4 linked regions of the Oryza sativa Japonica Group genome follow. Each later gene encodes a partner of the first gene's protein in a complex. Links are inferred from orthologs where the notes say so. Each region holds a gene or a part of one and is shown in the gene's direction. Other genes may lie near its edges. The genes, in order: COP9 signalosome complex subunit 3, COP9 signalosome complex subunit 4, COP9 signalosome complex subunit 8 and COP9 signalosome complex subunit 7.

Region 1 (5,043 bases):
TGCAACATGCTGCAGTTTTAGGTCTGGAGGACTCGAGAATGGAGAAGATGCGTGCTTATGCTGAACAGGTATTTTCAGGCCACCCAAACTTATTGGGTCTATTACTAGCATTGATCTGATGAGCTTTGCATTGCACCATGCACCCAATGAGGCCTGCTTTATGTATCACCTGATTGCATACCTAGGGATGGCAATGGGTTGGGTTGGGTTGGGCACGGACGGAGCAGGAACATGCCCGACCCATAACCGAATGGGCCAAGGGAGAGATGGGGCCAAAAATCAGCCATAGATATACAAAACTTGGGTCGGGCATGGGTTACCCATGGGCAAAATAGAAAACCTGGCGGCACCCACTAAGGTCTTGGGTCGAGCGTGCCCCTGGGCAAAAAATCGAACCCATGCCCATCGGGCACAGCGCCCGCGGGTACCTGGATCCATGGGCAAGATTGCCAATTTGCCATCTATATGCACACCCCTAAAAACTTGCATTTTCAGAAACAAGAAGTTTAAACTCTGAGAGGAATTGTGAGGCATGATACTAGTTCTTATGGAGTTCTCTAGCTTTGTTCTTGTAGTACAGTAACATGATAAACTCTAAATGTGAAACTCTCAATATGCAGACCAAGCTACTGGAAGACTACTACAGGAAACAGAGAAAACTTATGGAATTGAAGACATCAGCTCGCCCTGGAGAAACATGGCAGGGACTTGTCGCTGCCCTACATCTCCAGCATCTGGATGCATCCCCGACGCCGCACAAACTCACTATGTAAATATCGTTTGTGTGTTGTCTGAGAAAGATCAAAGAACTTGAGTCTAAGGATCTAGATTGTGATCCTAGCCTGCAACATATGTAGTATTCCTATCCTATGTTTGTGGATTCTGACTTCTGAGGAGTCAGCCGGCTGTCATTTTTGTCTCTCTGTTTTCATAGATATAAATGTAAGCGATTTTGCGGACGCACTTATATGTTTGTAATGAAGAATACTGGACTTGCGAGTGCAAGTATACCAGCTTGTTTTCCTCCTTATCAGTTCTTCTATACTGTCTTGTTTACATAGATGATATATCGTATCTCCTGCTTTGATCTTAGTTCTTGAGTATTCCATCAGTGAAGCCGATGAAATCTTGGAAGCGTCTGTAAGTTTTGGAAAAGAATACAGTTTCCTGTGTAATATCCATTTTTGCTAGGTCACCTGGGCACTGAGAATAGTTGTAAAACAGAGATTGTGGAGTGACTATCTGCATTCCAGTTTGGTAGCTGTTCATGATGAACCTCTGTTTCTATCTCAACTCAAGGTGTTTTCTGATTGTGGACTGTTTGACCTCCAGTTTGGACTGTAGGAATTTCGTCAGTTTTTGTAAAACTTGCATTCACATGCAAGAGCTACACAGGAAATTGATGTACAGTTTCTCCATATATTGTCAGGCGAAACCACCTCCAGTTCAGTGAATTTATGATTCAAATGCACACGAGCATCTGCAAATTCAAACTTCTGTTTTGAATAACAAAAAAAAAATCAAACTTCCTTTCGAAGCATATTTGGATTCGATTTTGTCAGATCACATCTGAATCTGCTACAAACGGCACAGATTACACCCCCCCACTCAAACGGACGGTCCAGATCCCCGCACAATTAAATCGATCTCGCCATCAAAATCTCTCCGCATCCAACCAAACAGGTCGACGCGAAGAGGAAGCCGCAGCACAAGAAAACCAAACCCCAACCGCGGCGACGCGAACGGCAAGCAAAACCCCCACACTTCCCGGCGGCGGCGGCGGCGGTGACGGCGGCGGCGATGGAGACGGTGGAGACGCTGGTGGCGCACATCCAGGGCCTCTCCGGGAGCGGGGAGGAGCTGGCCCACCTCCACAACCTTCTCCGGCAGGCCGACGGCGAGCCCCTGCGCGCCCACTCCGCCGCCCTCCTCCCCTTCCTCGCCCAGCTCCACCCGAGCGCCCACTCCCTCGGCTTCCTCTACCTCCTGTGAGTCCCGTCCCCTTGATGCCGCCGTCCGCGAAAACCCTAATCCCGTATGCTCGCCGAATCCAATCCGTCGCGCTAATCTACTTTTCCCCCACCTTGCGGGGGGTTGTTTCGTCCGTGATGCAGGGAGGCGTTCGCGTCTTCGGCTTCCAACCTGAGGGCGCAGGGCGGCGGGGACTTCCTGGTCACCACGGCCGATTTCCTCGTCTCCTGCTCGGCGGAGCAGATACGCTTGGCGCCTGATAAGTGTGCGTGCTGTTCAATGATCAAATCGAATCTATCTAATTCTGTCATGCATCGATTATTCGTTACTAGTACTAGAACATTATTCGTGGACTAAACATTCCACCTTTTTTTTTCTTCGATTTGTATTTTGTATGTGCAGTTCTGAGTGTGTGTAGGGTGTTCAAGAATGAGGTCATGCAGCTCAACGCGCCGATTAGAGGGATTGCCCCTCTGCGGGCGGCAATCCGCAAGATTCAGACTTCGTCTGAAGAGCTGACCCCGATCCATGCGGATTACCTTCTCCTGTGCCTGCTTGCGAAGCAGTACAAGGCTGGCCTAAGCGTCCTGGAAGACGACATACTCGAAGTTGATCAGCCAAAGGACTTATTCCTCTATTGCTACTATGGGTATATGGACGAATGTGCTTTATCCTTTATGGTTTTTTAATATGTACCGTTTGTTTACTTAACGGTTTTCCTTCTCTTGCAGGGGAATGATATACATTGGGCTGAAGAAGTTCACTATAGCACTGGATTTTCTTCACAATGTGAGGCTTTAAACATGTTAATTTTGTGTTTGATGTTTAATGGTTCAGTGTTTACAATGTTATGCATTTTTACAGGCTGTTACCGTCCCAATGTCATCATTGAATGCTATTGCTGTTGAAGCTTACAAGAAATACATCCTAGTTTCGCTCATTCAGAATGGGCAGGTATGTTCACCACTTCCTGCTTTGCGTCCTCTGCTGCTTTAGTGTGTGGAATTGTGGGACTTTTAGGGAAAGCTTGTTTTTCCTTAGCTTTGACCAGCGATCTGGTGCTCTCTAATTGATATACACCAGCTCTGGCTAAGATAAGATTTGTGGTAAAACATATGTGATATATGGTTGAGAAATTCAGATACCATTGCTAGATAAAGGTGAGTCTATATTTATGGTAAGCTTGTGAAACAAAGTATAATGCATGTAATGATAGGAACATGTACACAGGTGATGAAAGATAAGTTTAGTCAACCTCTAATTCCAAGCTAATTGGGTACTGTCCTTTTTCCTGTGTTAATGGGATAATAGGCTGGATGCCTAGGTTTGCATCCGCTGAATTGTGATCACAATCTTAGTGTTGCCATCTTTAATTGGTCCAATATTTTGGGCTCTCAAATGAAAACAACTACGGTTTTGTAAATGGGTTAAAAATTGGCAGCAGAAAAGCAGTATGGTACCCAACTCATAGGGATCCAAATCCATAAGCAGGTGGTTTAACCTTGATAGACAGAGATATACTACTCTAGTTAGTTTATCACTACTAAATTTCTGATCATGCATTCTCTTCCCACTTCTTGTATCAGGATATTTAGTTTTCCCGAAAATGTCGAATTTGCACACGTGCACTCAGCTTTAGCTTCTGGTCTTTAATGAGAGCTCAGATCTCCTAAAATTTGTTATGTTGATAGATCATCCTGTGGTATAAGAACTGCCAGTTGAACTGATGTGGTATATAATCTTCATAATTGTATTATGAGCTATAAGCTGGACATTTCTACATGTGCTCATCAAAAGATTTATTCTCTCCAATTTACTGGTTGCCCCTCCATAGCAATGCTAATAGGTTGTTATGTTCAATAGTTTATATAAAAAGGAGGATTACAAGCTGAGATTTATGCCATTTAAATGACAGGTTCCATCATTTCCAAAGTACACATCTTCAACTGCTCAAAGGAACCTCAAAAATCATGCTCAGGTATATTCAGGGAATCCTAGTTTCATCTGTCCCATGAAAGAATGTATGCTTGATAGTCGCATGCTGTTTAATGTAATGCTATAAGTGTTAGCCATGCCCCATGCTTTGTCTCATCGTTTGGTTTTTGATTTAGTGGTTTTTGATTCATTTTTGGCATGGTCAATGCTTTACCTTCTTTTTTTGTTTTGCTGCATAGTTTGTTCTCGGTATCAAGTACATTTGTTTTACTCACTAGAGGCAATGCTCACATTTTTATGTTCTACGTTACCGTCTATGCCACCCTAGATATAAAGGCTAAATTTTGCTCTTGATGCAAGTTCATCCTTTTTAGTGTTTAACTGCATACACCCTTTTTAGGTTGCTTCTGAAGTCATTAGTGCTCTGCGCTGTTCTTTTATTTCAGGTTTATGTTGACCTGTCAACATGCTACAGCAAAGGTAACTACTCTGAATTAGAGGAGTATATCCAGCTGAATGCTGAGAAGTTTCAATCGGTGAGTATTTCCTTTGTCAGTTGCTTGAGCTGCCCTCCTTACTATATCTATTTCCTTATCAGGAACTGTACTTAAGTTGCTATCTACTTGACGTGCTACGCATTATTTTGTTGACAGTTCTGCATGGCAAACCCATTTGTAGATTTATCTGAACCACCTCCTTCCTTTCCTCTGTTTTTTTTTTCTTTTTCAGGACAACAACCTTGGACTTGTGAAGCAAGTGCTCTCCTCAATGTACAAGCGAAACATCCAGAGGTTGACACAGACCTACTTGACTCTTTCGCTTGAGGATATTGCCAGCTCTGTTCAACTTAAAACCCCGAAGGAGGCTGAGATGCATGTGCTTAGGATGGTAGGTGTTTTTTGCCCCATACAGTCTGATCACATTATCTGTACTATCACATATTTTTACTTTTTGCCAATCCAGATTGAAGATGGTGAGATCCATGCAACCATAAACCAGAAGGATGGGATGGTCAGCTTTCATGAAGATCCTGAGCAATATAAAAGCTGTGAGATGGTTGAGCATATTGACTCGTCTATTCAAAGGTATGTGTCTTCTGTTTACCACTCTTGACTGCTACGTATATCTTGGGCATGT
Region 2 (3,627 bases), on another chromosome or scaffold:
AGATTTTCTCTACATAGTTGCAGATTTGTTTCCCTTTTCAATTCATGTGTTTCTTATCTCCATTATCTGTAGTTTGCTTGTTCTGTGGTGACTACTCTATTTCTGCACCCTTCTAGCAATACATTATATATTTTCCAATTCCCCTGCCCCCTTGCTATTAACATCTTGGATATTTCCACTTAAATTTTACAGTTGTTACATTAGCAGCTGATACTACTTATAAAAATTCCTGATGGAACACTCTGCATGTGATCTCAGAGAGATCGATGAAAATGCTTTGGAGCAAGCTCTTAGTGCTGCTGTGACATGCACAATATTGGCTGGTGCTGGTCCGCAACGATCTCGTGTTCTTGCTACATTGTACAAGGTATTTGCTTTGTTGGTTTATCATAACATTCTGGTTTGCAGTGCTTGTTATATCTACATGTCATTTATTGTCTGCAATAACTTTTTATGTATCATACTATCGTAATCATCTTTGCCCTTTCCCTGTGCCATGTTTATCAAATGGACAAATCTGAATTATCAGATGCTCTGCAGAGCTCTGTATCGATATTGATTGGTTTCTGTTATGGAGCACCATAGGTTGTGGCTTTAGCTTACTATGATATACATGCTGTGGCTTCTCTCCCTTACGCAGTGATTTGTATTCCCATTTACTGTACATCATTCTTGGTACACTCCAAAATTTATGTTTTCCGGGGAAAAAAGTATGTATATTGAAACAGAGGAATTGTCTCCGAACTCATTGGAATGTGGCATCATTATACAAAAACTTAACCCATTTGATATTGAATTACTAATATCAAGATCCTTCCAAATAGTTATTTAGGATTTTTTTTATAGTTCTGCTAAACTAATAAATATGCTAGCATCCAGTTTCAGTGGGTAGTTTATAGTTTCATACTGTTTGATGTTGACCAATCTGTAATCATGGTCATCAAATGAACCAACACCTTGTATCAACATTGTAGTAGCATGAAAATACAATTGTTTTGCATCTGATTTTTCTCATTATAGCGGTGCTTAAATTATGACTCGTGGCATGATTTTATACTGTCTTTTCCCTTTAGGATGAGAGATGCTCAAAGTTGAAGATATACCCAATACTGCAGAAGGTGCCTATCTTGATATACTCCCCTGGCATTTATATTTGGAGCATAAGCTCCCTTTATTGACAGGCCTTCTACTTCAAATGTGTAGGTCTTTCTTGAAAGGATTTTGAGGAAACCAGAAATTGAAGCATTTGCAGAGGAGCTGAGACCGCATCAAGTTAGTGAACATACTCTCTTCCAAGATAACTTGTAGTAGTAGCTTGTAATTTTATTGACTGGATTTTTCTTCTGTTCAACAGAAAGCTCTGTTACCAGATAAGTCTACTGTGCTTGACCGGGCAATGATTGAGCATAACCTCCTTAGTGCCAGTAAACTTTACACTAATATCAGGTTAGTTTTTGCATTGAAATTTTCCTGGGTCATTGTGATTTATCATTCTGATCAACTATTGATTTATTTCTGTAGCTTTGATGAGCTTGGAGCATTATTGGGCATTGACCCTAGGAAGGTTAGTATTTTGGTTAATTTTTCCTGTTGATATGATACATCATTTCATGTTTATAGAGACAGATTCACACAAAGTCCATATGACTAAGAAAAAGAAAAGAATTTGGAATATATGGGTTCTGAGTGGTACTTGCTGGAAACTAGTCAAACTGGGAAGAACCACCGAATTTCACAATTTAAAATCAAATAGGATAGTTCAAATCATCTGGCCTGTAACTGGTACCAGGAAGAACTGGCATTTTCTCTATAAATTCTTTATTTATGTTTGATTTTAAATATGAAAGTATTCAAATTGGAGTCTTACTGCAACTGATTTTGATGCTGGCAGGCTGAAAAGATAGCATCGCGAATGATTTATGAAGATAGGATGCGAGGTTCAATTGATCAGGTTTTATTCATATGACTTCCTTAATCCTTATGTTGATATTCATACTATTCCACCATTTCGAGCAGACATCTGAAATAGACTTACACTGTAACCATGTTTTACCGTTTGTGGTTTAATTCAAGTTGTTATGAGATTAACTCGCCTGGCTTATTTTACAGGTTGAAGCTGTGATACATTTTGAGGATGACACTGAAGAGCTGCAGCAGTGGGACCAACAGGTTAGTTTACCCGCACACTCGTGCTTGGCGTTTCTAGCATTAGCTTAGGCACCAGTTTTTTCTGCACAAGTATATCTCTTTCCCCATTTTCCCAACCCACTTCTTGTTTTACGTGCGCACACTTTTCAAACTGCTAAACGGTGTGATTTATACAAAAACTTTCTATATAAAAGTTGTTTTAAAAAACATATCAATCTTTTTTTTTAAAAAGTTAATACTTAATTAATTATGCAACAATACGAGCGTGCGCCGGGGAGAACACAGCCACATACATACCGCTAAACCTCGGATGTGGTTTCAGATTGCGGGACTGTGCCAAGCGCTGAACGACATTCTGGACAGCATGTCAAGCAAGGGAATGGCTATTCCTGTGTGAGCTCTTCAAGTTGCTTCGATGGTACTCGTGAGAACTGTGGTCACGGCGTCAGGCCTCACGGACATTTTGTACAGATGTTCGCAGCTGCGAGTACCAGTCATGTTTCGGAACGAATTTTGGCCACAATTAGTCGGTGATCGGTACATGTGAAGTTGTGAACTGCTGGATAGATTAAGGCAGTGGCGCCGTAATGGCATTATATCACAAACCAAAATTGATCGTGATAGCATTTTATGCCTTGTTTTCTTCTGGTATGATGATGGTTGTTGGGACAGGATACTCAGATCGAGCCCCGATCGGAGTGGGTTTAGTGTGAGTGATTGCTTAGGAGGAACGGTGAGACAGACGATTGCAAGAGCGGGTAGATTGCAGACTTGGAGCAGGGCTCTCATCCTTCTCGAGCCATTGGAGGCTAGGTACAGTGATCCTGTTTGAAGGTGCTTCGATTTCTGTCTCCAAGTCTCGGCCCAAAACAATGTAACATGAGAGGAAAGCTACGTTTATACACATTAACAGCTTACTTAACCGTTTACAGGCGGGTTCTTGGAAGGGAGGAGGCTACGATTATACACATCAACAGCTTATTTAACTCAGCTACATCACGACACAGTGGAAGAAACGAAAGTACGCACGTAGTATGCAGGCCGGCCTCTACACGAGCAAGACCAGCATTATTTACGCAGAAACTACTGTAGCTGGACGCGTTCACCTCCAAATGTCCCTCTCTGCTCACTTGCTTAGCCACTGGAGAGCCTGCCCTTGATTCCGATGAAGCGTTTTTTCAAGCTCCTGGGCAAACGAATCTGCCGCTCTCCCCAGTCTCCTTCCTCCTCTTCCCTCCTCGGTTTTGGCTCATCTCCTCTTCCATCCTCTTGCTCCTCCTCCTCTTCCTCTCTCCTCCGCTCTTCTTCTTCCTCTTCTCTCCTCTGCTCTTCTTCCTCCCTCCTCTTCTTCTCTTCCTTCTCCCTCTGCCTCCTTTCCTCCTCCTCCCGCTCTCTCCTTTCCTTCTCTTCTTCTTCCCTCCTCTTCCTCTCCTCTTCTTGTCTCCTCCTTTCTTCCTCCTCTTTCTCCCGCTGCCTCCT
Region 3 (4,835 bases), on another chromosome or scaffold:
ACATGCTTCTGTTCCTGCAGTTTAATGTTACGATGATTGATTTATATATAAATATCTGTCCATCTGGCATGGAGGCACTCCAATCCTCCAACTGCAAAAGTCCCAGAATGTCTGTAATTTACAGGATTTTCAAACAATTTAATTTAATTTCTCATAAACAGCTTCCAAAATTTATCCATTACAAATAGGCCTTTAGTCAGGAGGAGATTAAGCCTATATGAATGTAGTTCATCAAGTGGATACTTCCTAAGGCCCTTTGTACCAAGAACCACCTTACCATACTATCGCAAAACAATAATTATAATTTTTATAGGGTGTATGAGAAAAGCACAAATTTTGATCTAAATTTATGACAGTATTACAATTTTACCCAAACTTACATTAAACTACAGACTTAAGAGGGTGTATCACAATAGCATCAAATTTACCACAATACTACAGGTCTAATGCATAATATTGTAGATCTACAAATTTGAACACTAATTTTATCACACAATCATAGCATGTAGCTCAACCCAAATATAAACTCTTGAAACTAGTAGTTTTATAATAATATTGATGTTAAAATTGTAATTTTGTGATATACATAAATTTGTAGTTACGAATAGTTCTGTGCAATTTACTCATTTCGTAACAGTTTTTATTCAACTCATTCAAACTACCATCAAATAGTATTTAATTTGTTTCGAATCAACTCATTCAAATAAAACCGTGATGTTGTTGCTATCAATGTTGATGCTGCAACTTTTCAGTAAACACGTCGAATGGGAGTGGGCATGGTAATAAAAAACTACACCTGTGATTTATTGGCTTGCAATGAGCGCACAAAAGAGGTTACCATAGTATAGCTTGCTGAAGCATTGGCTCTACGCCGCGTTGTTGCTCTCACTTGCGAAGAAGGTTTTCAAAACGCTAGTAATTCTGAATGCAGTCATACGGAGAGTTAACTCATTATCCATGGACCAATCTTCAAATGGCATAGTGATTGCAGACATCAAGGTCATAGCAGTGGGTTTCTCCTCTATTAGTTTTAATCATGTTTATCTATGTTGAATGCCGCGACTCATTTATTAGCTCGTTTCTGTGAACATTCTAGTGATGTTATGCACCGTAACGTAACCTTGGAGTGTATTCGGGAGATACTTTGTAGTAATGATTTACCATAACCAATAAAACACCGCTCTCTCTAAATAGACAAAACCAACCAGTAGTAGTATTCAATCTACTTCCAAATTTGAATCAAATAGTAGTCAAATTTGCAGCATGTTGGGGAAGCACTAGTGGGTGGTGATGGAGTCGTGGGTGCATGGCTCCATCCACTAGGGTTTAAATCCTAATAAGATAATAGATGTTTCACCGATCTCCATCTCTTAGAGTCTGCCATGTTATCTCATAAAGAAATCAAATCTAGGTGAACTTTTAGCAGGGTTTTAGTAACATAAAAGATGTTTGGCTGATTTCCGTCTCTTAGAGTCTGCCATGTAATCTCAAAAAGAAAAAAAAACTGCAGTATATGTTGGAGAAAGAAACAACCCTATCCCTCGCGGGCCAGCCTGGGCCGGACATGTCAGATGGGCCAGAGAGATACACGATTACACGTGGGTTTTTTCTTCCCCCCGTTTATTTCCTTTCCTGAAATTTCTCCAAATCTGCCCCAAATTCCGAATTTTACTCGAACTCCAAAAACCCTTCCCCTCTTCTCCCCTCGCCTCGGCCCGCCGGCGGCCGGCCACCACCGCCACCTCCTCCTCCGATGGATCTCGCCGCCGTCCACGCCGCCCTCGCCGGCAAGTCCTACTCCTCCGTCGCCCCGCTCTGCGACGACCTCTTCCTCCAGGTACCAATCCCTCCCCTCCCCACCCCTCTCCCGCCTCCCGCGACGCGAGGAGGGTTAGCGTAGCGCTCCTGACTCGGTGTTCCTCGCGCAGGCCGCGTCCCGGGGCGCCGCCACCGACGGCTGGCCCTACGCCGTGCACCTCCTCGCCCACCTCTACCTCAACGACCTGTAACGCCCCGCGATCTGCTCCCCCACCTCTCTCCCATGGAATTTTTCTGGGCTAGGGCTTCCGGGATTAATGTTGTTTTTGTGTTTCTGGGTGGGTGCGTGTGTGAGCAGGAACAGCGCGAGGTTTCTGTGGAAGTCGACGCCGCAGGAGGCGAAGGACGCGCGGCCGGAGCTCGCCGCCGTCTGGAGGATCGGGCAGTGCCTCTGGAACCGCGATTACGCGGGCGTCTACGCGGCCGCGCAGGGGTTCGAGTGGAGCCCTGAAATCGCCGACTTCGTGGCCGCCTTCCTAGGTACTGGTTGTTGCTTTACTGTTCATGATGGAAACGTGCAACAGTTGAATTATTCTGTGTCTTTGTGCAAAGTTGTATTGCTTACTAGAATGAATTGCATACTGTGGTAGTATTGTGTTGGAGGTCACCACTTTGTGGTGTGGGTTGGGAAGTCGGGAGATTCAGATGTGCATACATATACTTCATGGAGTAATTGTGGAAACGATTTATCTGCACAATCAGGCTGAATCAGCTTCCTTAATGAATACGCAAAGTTACTATTAGTAGAGTGCCCGTTAGTAGAGTTTTGTGCTGCGTAGTGTAATGGTTAAAGTGTTTATCTTGGAAATACTTGCTTCCTAAGATAGCCTTGTTCAGTGGGTTTATACTATCTCCTTAATAAGGACTAGTGATTTGATTATTTTCAGGCTGCTCATAAGAGTTTGGTTCCCAAGAAGTTCAGTTTTGTTCCTATTTTTACTTCTAATTGACAACATGATGCAACAATTCTAGATGCACAGAGGATGTTCATTAACTCATGCTTCAATCAAAATAAACACTTTGTAGTTATCATTTATGAGTGAAACTGTTGAATGTATTAATGTAATAGCATTATAATTAAACATTTGCACTTTTTTATAAGGTGATTGTTAACATTTTACCAGCAGTCATTGTGACACAGTAGTGGAACTAGAGAAGTTAAGTTCTTTCCATGAAGTGCTTACTATGACATATACCATAATAATACGTCAATCAGGATAATAAGTTAATAACATCATGATTGTTTCCCTTTTGCTTGTTTAACCAACTAATCTTCTAGTATTATTTTTATATTAGGAAATAAGTATAAAGCCTGCTGTTTTATATTTTTTTTAGTATTTATAATTGGTTAACTTGAATATCCAATATTGTTTTCTGATTACACAGAAAGCTACAGAAAGAGGATTTTCCAGTTGTTGACTTCTGCATATTCCACAATCAGCGTTGCTGATGTGGCTCACTTCATGGGGATGAATGAGGAGGATGCTACTAACTGTACATTTTCTGAAACTATCTTGTTGCTGTACTATGTTTTTTAATGTTAAGTACAATGTTCTGACTATCTTCATGTTAATCAACAGTATAGATCATAGAAGTTCTGACATGGTTAATATGGTGTTTTTAGTCATCTTTATCTGTAGAAATCATCCAAAGTCCCAATTTTAGGATACACTGCATCCTTTTCAACTTCCATAGCATTTCTTCATAGATTATAATCTTTCGTCCAATATGTGTTTTTGCAAGTTCCTTGAATTTTGGAAGGTAAATGTTTCTCCCTATGTCTCAAAATATAACAACTTTTAACCCTCAGGATTTGTCCCAAAATATAACAACTTCTCCACCAACATTCTCTTTCCAACCAATCACAACCCTCCACCATTCACTTTTCCCACCTACCTCCACTACTCATCCAATTACAACCCTCCACCATTCACTTCTATCTACTTTCTTAATAACCGTGTCCAACTCTAAAACTCTAAAACAATGATGGTGCCCCTATGGACTTCTTTTGGGTAGCACTTCTATTGTACTGACTGGATTATAACACTGCATATTACATTACTTTCCTTTCACAATAGAAAATAGAAACCTCTCCTTCATACAATACTTGAATTCCATTTTGTGCCATCAGTGTTGTCCACATTTCTCCTGGATTGAGCATTGTACATTCTAGGTTTGAATAAAGTGTCAGATATTTTGTTGTCTTTGAGACTCGGTTGTGTCAAAATTAAACATACTTTTGTGTGCATGAATTTTAGTTTGTTTTGATCATTGTGATAATGCTGGCCCATTGATTTTGATGTTCACAATGAGGTATATCCACAATTTCACATCTAATTGGCTATCTCTGTTGGCTTGAGTACTGTTGTGGAGTATAAAATTAGTAGAAATTTTGGCACAACCCACTCAAAAAGAGTTGTCTTCATTTTACCATTTCAATATAGTGAATGCATTCTTCTTCCTTCTAATTACCAAAATTTTTCGTAGGTCATTCATGTAACATATTGAAAATTATTTTTTTTTTGTGGTCAATGCATCAAGGCTCGTGTATCCCTCTTTCTATGGCTATAACTAAAACTTGCTATATTTGAAACATATTGAAAAACATATTGAATATTTTTGGAATAAGCATCCCTCTGTATTTGAAGCATTTTTAGTTCTGCAAATTTTATTATGCTATTGTGTTTGACTTTCTGCATGATATTTGCCTGCTTCAGAAGCTGATGACAATAGTTGTCTTAATAATCATTACAGATGCCATGCAAAACGGTTGGAGCTTGGATGCGGCAGCCAGGATGCTTACTGTCGTAAAACCAAAGGTTAAGACTAACCAGAAGCTCGATGCAAGCAAACTTCAGCGATTAACTGAATGCGTCTTCCACCTGGAGCACTAAAGTCCAGCATTACGGGCATCCCGCATGACTCTTAAGAAACCTATTTATCATATGATGCCAAGCCGAGATTGCCTTTTCTCCGGAAATCAGAGTTAGTTCAGTGTTGAATTTCCATCTGCAATT
Region 4 (4,830 bases), on another chromosome or scaffold:
CCCCTTTTTCATGTTCTAGCCGATATGTTTTCTTTTGACATCAGGTAGTTTATGGATGAAGAGGAAGAAACTACAAGTAAAGCCTTGGTGCCTCTAGCCGATAATGTGAAAACAACCTTGCTGGATATCTCAAAGTGGCTTGAAGGCTCCCTAGAAACTCTGGTGGTCAGTTGTGGATCAATCAGAGATAGATTCCTTGTAATCTACGACCAACTCCCAGATGAACTAGCCGATGTTATCACCCCAGCGGCATACCTCGAACAGCATCAGCTCAAGCTTGAAAAGGCTAAACAAAGGGTTGCTGATCGCCGTGAAAGAAAAGATCTTGAGGCCACCATCCAGGCTAGTAGGACTTCTATTAATGAAGAAAAGGCAAAACTTGATGAGTTGGAAGCTGGTCCAAGGTCCACTCAAGCCAACATAGATCGGCTGAATACTCGGAAGATAGAACTCCTAGCCGAATTGGAGCAGTGCAATGCACATATTGCTATTGAAGAACATAAACTTGCCGATCTGCCCAAAGCTACTGAGGATCAGAGATCATAGCTCAAATCTTCTGTCAAACATCTAGCTGATCTAATCAAGTCCCTGAAAGTAATTCTTGGATCTGATGCAGTCGATACCCAGATCATTGATGAGGTAGAACAGATTAGGCAACGAATTATATCGGCTATCCAAAAATATGTATGTGGATGAGCTAAACATGTAACATGTGAATGTATTTAGTTTGTTACCAAACATTGTTAATGCCTAGAGAATTTTGACAACAACATATTTAGTCTATCGCTCTATCCTATCAAAATTTAGTAATATTGTCAACTTGACAAAATTTTGGTATTGCTAAAATTTGAAAAATGTTTATTTTGGCAGTATAATACTCTCTCCATCTACTTTTGATAGTTATATTTTCAAATTTGAAAAATTTATTTTTGATAGGCATATTTCAATCCAACAACTTATCATCTTAATGACTTTCTCAGATTTAATGCATGACTCTCCATTCTTCCACACAAGATTGGTTGCATGGGCATCGAGAAATGTAAATATTAATGAATCGCTTGTTTACGAGAAATGACTAGTAGCATGTTTAAATGGATGATAAGTAGAATTATTTATCCTTGATCTGTGTGTCAAGATAAAATATGACTATCAAAAGCAGATGGAGGAGGAGTAATAAGAAGGCTAAAAAAAAATTGGTGTCTAAACGGGGAAGATGCATTCTTAATGGCAGCAATCCCCCACGTCGACACGCAGCCCAAGCGACCGTGGCCCTCCAGGCCCCGACTCCCGAGCACGAGTATGCGGCAACGAGCCGGACACCAGCACCACCCACCACCGTGGAGCCCAACCGAACCCGAAACCCACTCTCCCCACTACAATCCCACAAAACACAGAGAATATCACCGAGGCGAACGAAACCGAAAAGAAAGCGAAACCCCGATCCCCCAAACCCTAGCGCGTACTAGCCCCCCGGGCAAATCGCCGGCGGCGATGGCGATGGACGCGGAGCGGCGGCAGGCGGAGCTGATCGAGCAGTTCTCCGCGCAGGCGGCCGCCCTCTCCTCGTCGGCGCCGCAGCTGGCGGCGCTCGTGCTCGAGGCCACCTCCCACCCGGCCCTCTTCGCCTTCTCCGAGCTCCTCTCCCTCCCCGCCCTCTCCAAGGTATAAGGGACCCCCCGCCTCTCGCTCCGCCTGCGCCCCGCCGCGCCGCGCGTGTTTAGGGTTAGGGTTTTGGGGGTGGACCACCTCTCCTCCCCCCTCTGATTTCGATCTAATGTCAGTTCGTTGATGCAGCTCACTGGAACGCAGTATGCGTCGTCTCTGGACGTGCTCCGCCTCTTCGCCTATGGGACATTGAAGGACTACAAGAGTAAGATCACCCCCTCCCGTTGCGATTCGTACATTACATTGCCCTTATGTATGTGTTGTCATGCGTCATATGTGTATGCTTATTTGGTGCGTGAGTCTAGTGCATTGTCTTGTTGTTGTGTGTTAGGGGTACGCCCTATGAAATAGCCGCTTACCATGGACGCGATTGGCATGTGAGGGCCATAGCCCATATGTTTAATGGTTAACAATAGTGCTGATTTGTGTTAATGTTAATTCACACTTTTTTTTTGTGTTATATTGTTATAGGTTAATTTTTTGATGGGATTCACATACTAATTAATCATAATTCATCTTTGTCTTATGGTTTATATTCTGCAACAATATGTGGATAGAATTATCACATTTCTGTGCTTGAAATCATAATTTGAGCTGTGACAATCAATTTGCCTTTTCACCCACCAATATGATCAGTGTGTGTCAGGCTGTGGTTGCTAGAATTTTGTTGTTTCCTCTCTCATCGGCATGTCATTAAAACGGTCTGCAGTTTGTGGTATTCTCTGTTTATAGTAATATCAGATAAGTGCAGAACATGAACATTTACTGTTTCATTAATTGTTTTTAATTTTCATACATGTAGGTAATTCTGGCAATCTCCCTGCATTGTTACCTGATCAAGTCCGGAAGCTGAAGCAACTCAGCGTGCTAACTTTGGCTGAGTCAACCAAGGTGCAAATTTAGGCTGATACTGTCTAATATGCTATGCATTTTTTTTTTTGCTTATCCTGTGTACATAAAGTTACTAAGGGAGCGTTTAGATCCTTGGCAATGGGGATTTTAGCCTTGCATAGCAAGGGGAGTTATCATTTGGTAGTAAAAGAAAACAAATCTAACTTTCTCTGTCAATCTAGCTTAACAATTGTCAGAAAAAACTTGCTGTCAAAGGAGAGAAAAAATGGCCCCATCTTCATCGACAAGCATGTGAGCATGAACTGTTGATGGCACCAAATATCGTGCCTCGCTGCCTTGCTTATGTGGGCCATAGATGAAATGAGCAGGTTTATGCCAGGCTGAGCAAAGATAATTTAAGATCCAAATGTATCCTCACAGTTGTTTCATCAAATAATAGCTGGTCTGCATGTTTATTATCTAGGTTTTTCATTCTTCTTTCTTTACGTATGATGGGAAATAGTTCTATGCAGTTATATGTGTTAAGTGATAGTGATTCTCTGAACAGATAACAACCAATGCCAGAAACAAGCTTCTTCCATCCTATTATGTGTGCCCAATTTAGCTTTACACTATCTGTGAATACTATCTTATTCTTTATGTGCATAGCCTGTTTGAGTGTGCACTGGAAGTCAAGTTCATGTAGTATTATCTTTTACCTTAAAACTCTGTTCTATGTTTTTGCTTTAGACAATACTAAATGTGCTTGGTTTTTATTATCATTTCTATTCAGGTGCTACCATATGATCAACTCATGCAAGAATTGGATGTTTCCAATGTAAGAGAACTCGAAGATTTCCTCATCAATGAGTGCATGTACTCGGTGAGAATTTTTTTGCCTTAGGCACTTAAATCTCTATTTTCCATCTTCTAACCTCCCTAACAAAAACCATGTCATTACAAATATATCTTGTGTGGATTATTGCTCTTGTAAGCTCTCTAGCCTTTAGGATCATCGGTTTGTTTCTTGAACTTTTACACCATAGATGCTAGTATTCTAGTCAAATATTAACGTTTAATTGCTTCCCTAGGGTATTGTCAGGGGCAAATTGGATCAGCTGCGGAGGTGTTTTGAGGTCAGATGCTTGTTCTTACAAGTACATTGTTCATGGTTTCATTGTTTAGCTGGCAAATGATCCCCCTAAATTCTGTCTGTACTTGACAGGTACAATTTGCAACTGGAAGGGATCTTACACCTGATCAGCTGAACAATATGATAGATACATTATCTGACTGGTGTGTACCTTTACTTGAGTGATTGTTGCATCCCATCCCTATTTTTTGTTCACAGAAGTTTTAATGTTTGCATTTATATATGGTTCTCCCTCATATCTGATATGACCTTCTGAAAGATACATTGAGGTCATGTGTTATGGGAACTGCGGCTGGGTTATTTTGCTATGTTTATTTGTTCTAGACTCCATGTGTGTTGTCCCTTCAGGCTACTATTGTAGATGGTATGGTTTTGGTTGTTTTTTGTAGTTGGGTGCTGTAGGGATAATGTGAAATTGTGTCTTCTCTTGCCAACCCACTCTGTCTGCCTTTTAACCTTTTTAAGTTTTAATTATACACTATCCATTGTTTTTATTGTCAGTTCATAGCTTTATGTTTTAAATCATATAGAAGTGTTTCCTTGAATTTGTTAAAAGATGAATAACCTCTGAGGTTTTTCATTTAGACAATAGTGTATATGCATCATTTGGTGCTGATATTGTGCTTTTGACATTTCACAAGTAATCAGTTTATATGCTCGTGCTTTGACATTTTTACTCGGTCCATTTTATGTTGAAACATTATGAGGTGCATGTTAACGGGACCAATGGAAGTTTATTGGTACCAACTCATGCTGATGTAAATTGCACAGGCTGGGAACATCGGATAATTTATTGCATCAGATTCAGGAGAAAATTAAGTGGGCTGATACAATGAGTGAAGTGAACAAGAAGCACCAGAAAGAGTTCGAAGACAAGGTAGAAGAAGCCAAAAAATCAATCAAGGTGAGTTGGATCAATTTGAAGCACCAACTATACTGTAGTTTTTCAGATATTGAATGATGAACAGTAAAAAAGGAAAAAAAACTTGCATCTGTTTTGTTTTTTCTAGCGAACATCAGGCTTTTGCATAATTCTTATGATGTTTTTCTATGTTCCTCATTCTTCTGATGACCTGTTGACCCATGTCCATTTACTGTCATGTGTTCCATTCTGATTTTAGTATTAAATGCTTTTAAGTATTCATATAGTATTAAATAGTGGAATTGCCGGACCATGTTTC

The links.
Region 2: COP9 signalosome complex subunit 3 (region 1) and COP9 signalosome complex subunit 4 share a complex: the UniProt entries of both Arabidopsis thaliana proteins name them as parts of the CSN complex. The link is inferred for Oryza sativa Japonica Group from reciprocal best matches to the Arabidopsis thaliana genes COP13 and COP8.
Region 3: the proteins of COP9 signalosome complex subunit 3 (region 1) and COP9 signalosome complex subunit 8 are in contact, whole or in part, in a cryo-EM structure (PDB 9IS6), measured with the Arabidopsis thaliana proteins. The link is inferred for Oryza sativa Japonica Group from reciprocal best matches to the Arabidopsis thaliana genes COP13 and COP9. Residues at the interface, in NP_568296.1 of Arabidopsis thaliana: Asp121, Leu123, Arg124, Pro128, Ala157, Lys158, Gly193, Leu194, Lys195, Lys332, Glu335, Met336, Leu339, Gln340, Ile342, Gln343, Ala349, Leu350, Ile351, Asn352, Gln353, Lys354, Asp377, Ile380, Gln381, Ile384, Lys388; in NP_193147.1 of Arabidopsis thaliana: Met26, Leu27, Ala30, Ser31, Gly33, Ile34, Glu35, Tyr36, Asp56, Phe60, Arg64, His89, Tyr91, Leu125, Ser128, Ala129, Tyr130, Ser131, Thr132, Ile133, Thr134, Asp137, Phe141, Met166, Arg187, Glu190, Tyr191, His194.
Region 4: COP9 signalosome complex subunit 3 (region 1) and COP9 signalosome complex subunit 7 share a complex: the UniProt entries of both Arabidopsis thaliana proteins name them as parts of the CSN complex. The link is inferred for Oryza sativa Japonica Group from reciprocal best matches to the Arabidopsis thaliana genes COP13 and FUS5.

Annotation. Positions count from the first base shown.
Region 1 is NC_089042.1:1,060,179-1,065,221, forward strand, and holds the start of COP9 signalosome complex subunit 3, read left to right. Parts: upstream 1-1,669; 5' UTR 1,670-1,800; coding exon 1,801-1,988; intron 1,989-2,114; coding exon 2,115-2,236; intron 2,237-2,373; coding exon 2,374-2,620; intron 2,621-2,702; coding exon 2,703-2,760; intron 2,761-2,835; coding exon 2,836-2,925; intron 2,926-3,886; coding exon 3,887-3,949; intron 3,950-4,352; coding exon 4,353-4,442; intron 4,443-4,635; coding exon 4,636-4,794; intron 4,795-4,869; coding exon 4,870-4,991; intron 4,992-5,043. Other genes in the region: probable adenylate kinase 7, mitochondrial, read left to right, coding at 1-68, 621-773. UniProt on the Arabidopsis thaliana protein: Component of the COP9 signalosome complex (CSN), a complex involved in various cellular and developmental processes such as photomorphogenesis and auxin and jasmonate responses.
Region 2 is NC_089037.1:5,165,578-5,169,204, reverse strand, and holds the end of COP9 signalosome complex subunit 4, read left to right. Parts: intron 1-258; coding exon 259-367; intron 368-1,073; coding exon 1,074-1,118; intron 1,119-1,203; coding exon 1,204-1,272; intron 1,273-1,354; coding exon 1,355-1,446; intron 1,447-1,521; coding exon 1,522-1,564; intron 1,565-1,891; coding exon 1,892-1,951; intron 1,952-2,109; coding exon 2,110-2,169; intron 2,170-2,470; coding exon 2,471-2,545; 3' UTR 2,546-2,774; downstream 2,775-3,627. Other genes in the region: vicilin-like seed storage protein At4g36700, read right to left, coding at 3,283-3,627. UniProt on the Arabidopsis thaliana protein: Component of the COP9 signalosome complex (CSN), a complex involved in various cellular and developmental processes such as photomorphogenesis and auxin and jasmonate responses.
Region 3 is NC_089038.1:21,626,602-21,631,436, reverse strand, and holds the start of COP9 signalosome complex subunit 8, read left to right. Parts: upstream 1-1,651; 5' UTR 1,652-1,753; coding exon 1,754-1,837; intron 1,838-1,928; coding exon 1,929-2,005; intron 2,006-2,116; coding exon 2,117-2,298; intron 2,299-3,204; coding exon 3,205-3,312; intron 3,313-4,572; coding exon 4,573-4,712; 3' UTR 4,713-4,835. UniProt on the Arabidopsis thaliana protein: Component of the COP9 signalosome complex (CSN), a complex involved in various cellular and developmental processes such as photomorphogenesis and auxin and jasmonate responses.
Region 4 is NC_089041.1:18,479,819-18,484,648, reverse strand, and holds the start of COP9 signalosome complex subunit 7, read left to right. Parts: upstream 1-1,414; 5' UTR 1,415-1,491; coding exon 1,492-1,662; intron 1,663-1,794; coding exon 1,795-1,870; intron 1,871-2,467; coding exon 2,468-2,556; intron 2,557-3,289; coding exon 3,290-3,379; intron 3,380-3,587; coding exon 3,588-3,632; intron 3,633-3,721; coding exon 3,722-3,792; intron 3,793-4,420; coding exon 4,421-4,553; intron 4,554-4,830. UniProt on the Arabidopsis thaliana protein: Component of the COP9 signalosome complex (CSN), a complex involved in various cellular and developmental processes such as photomorphogenesis and auxin and jasmonate responses.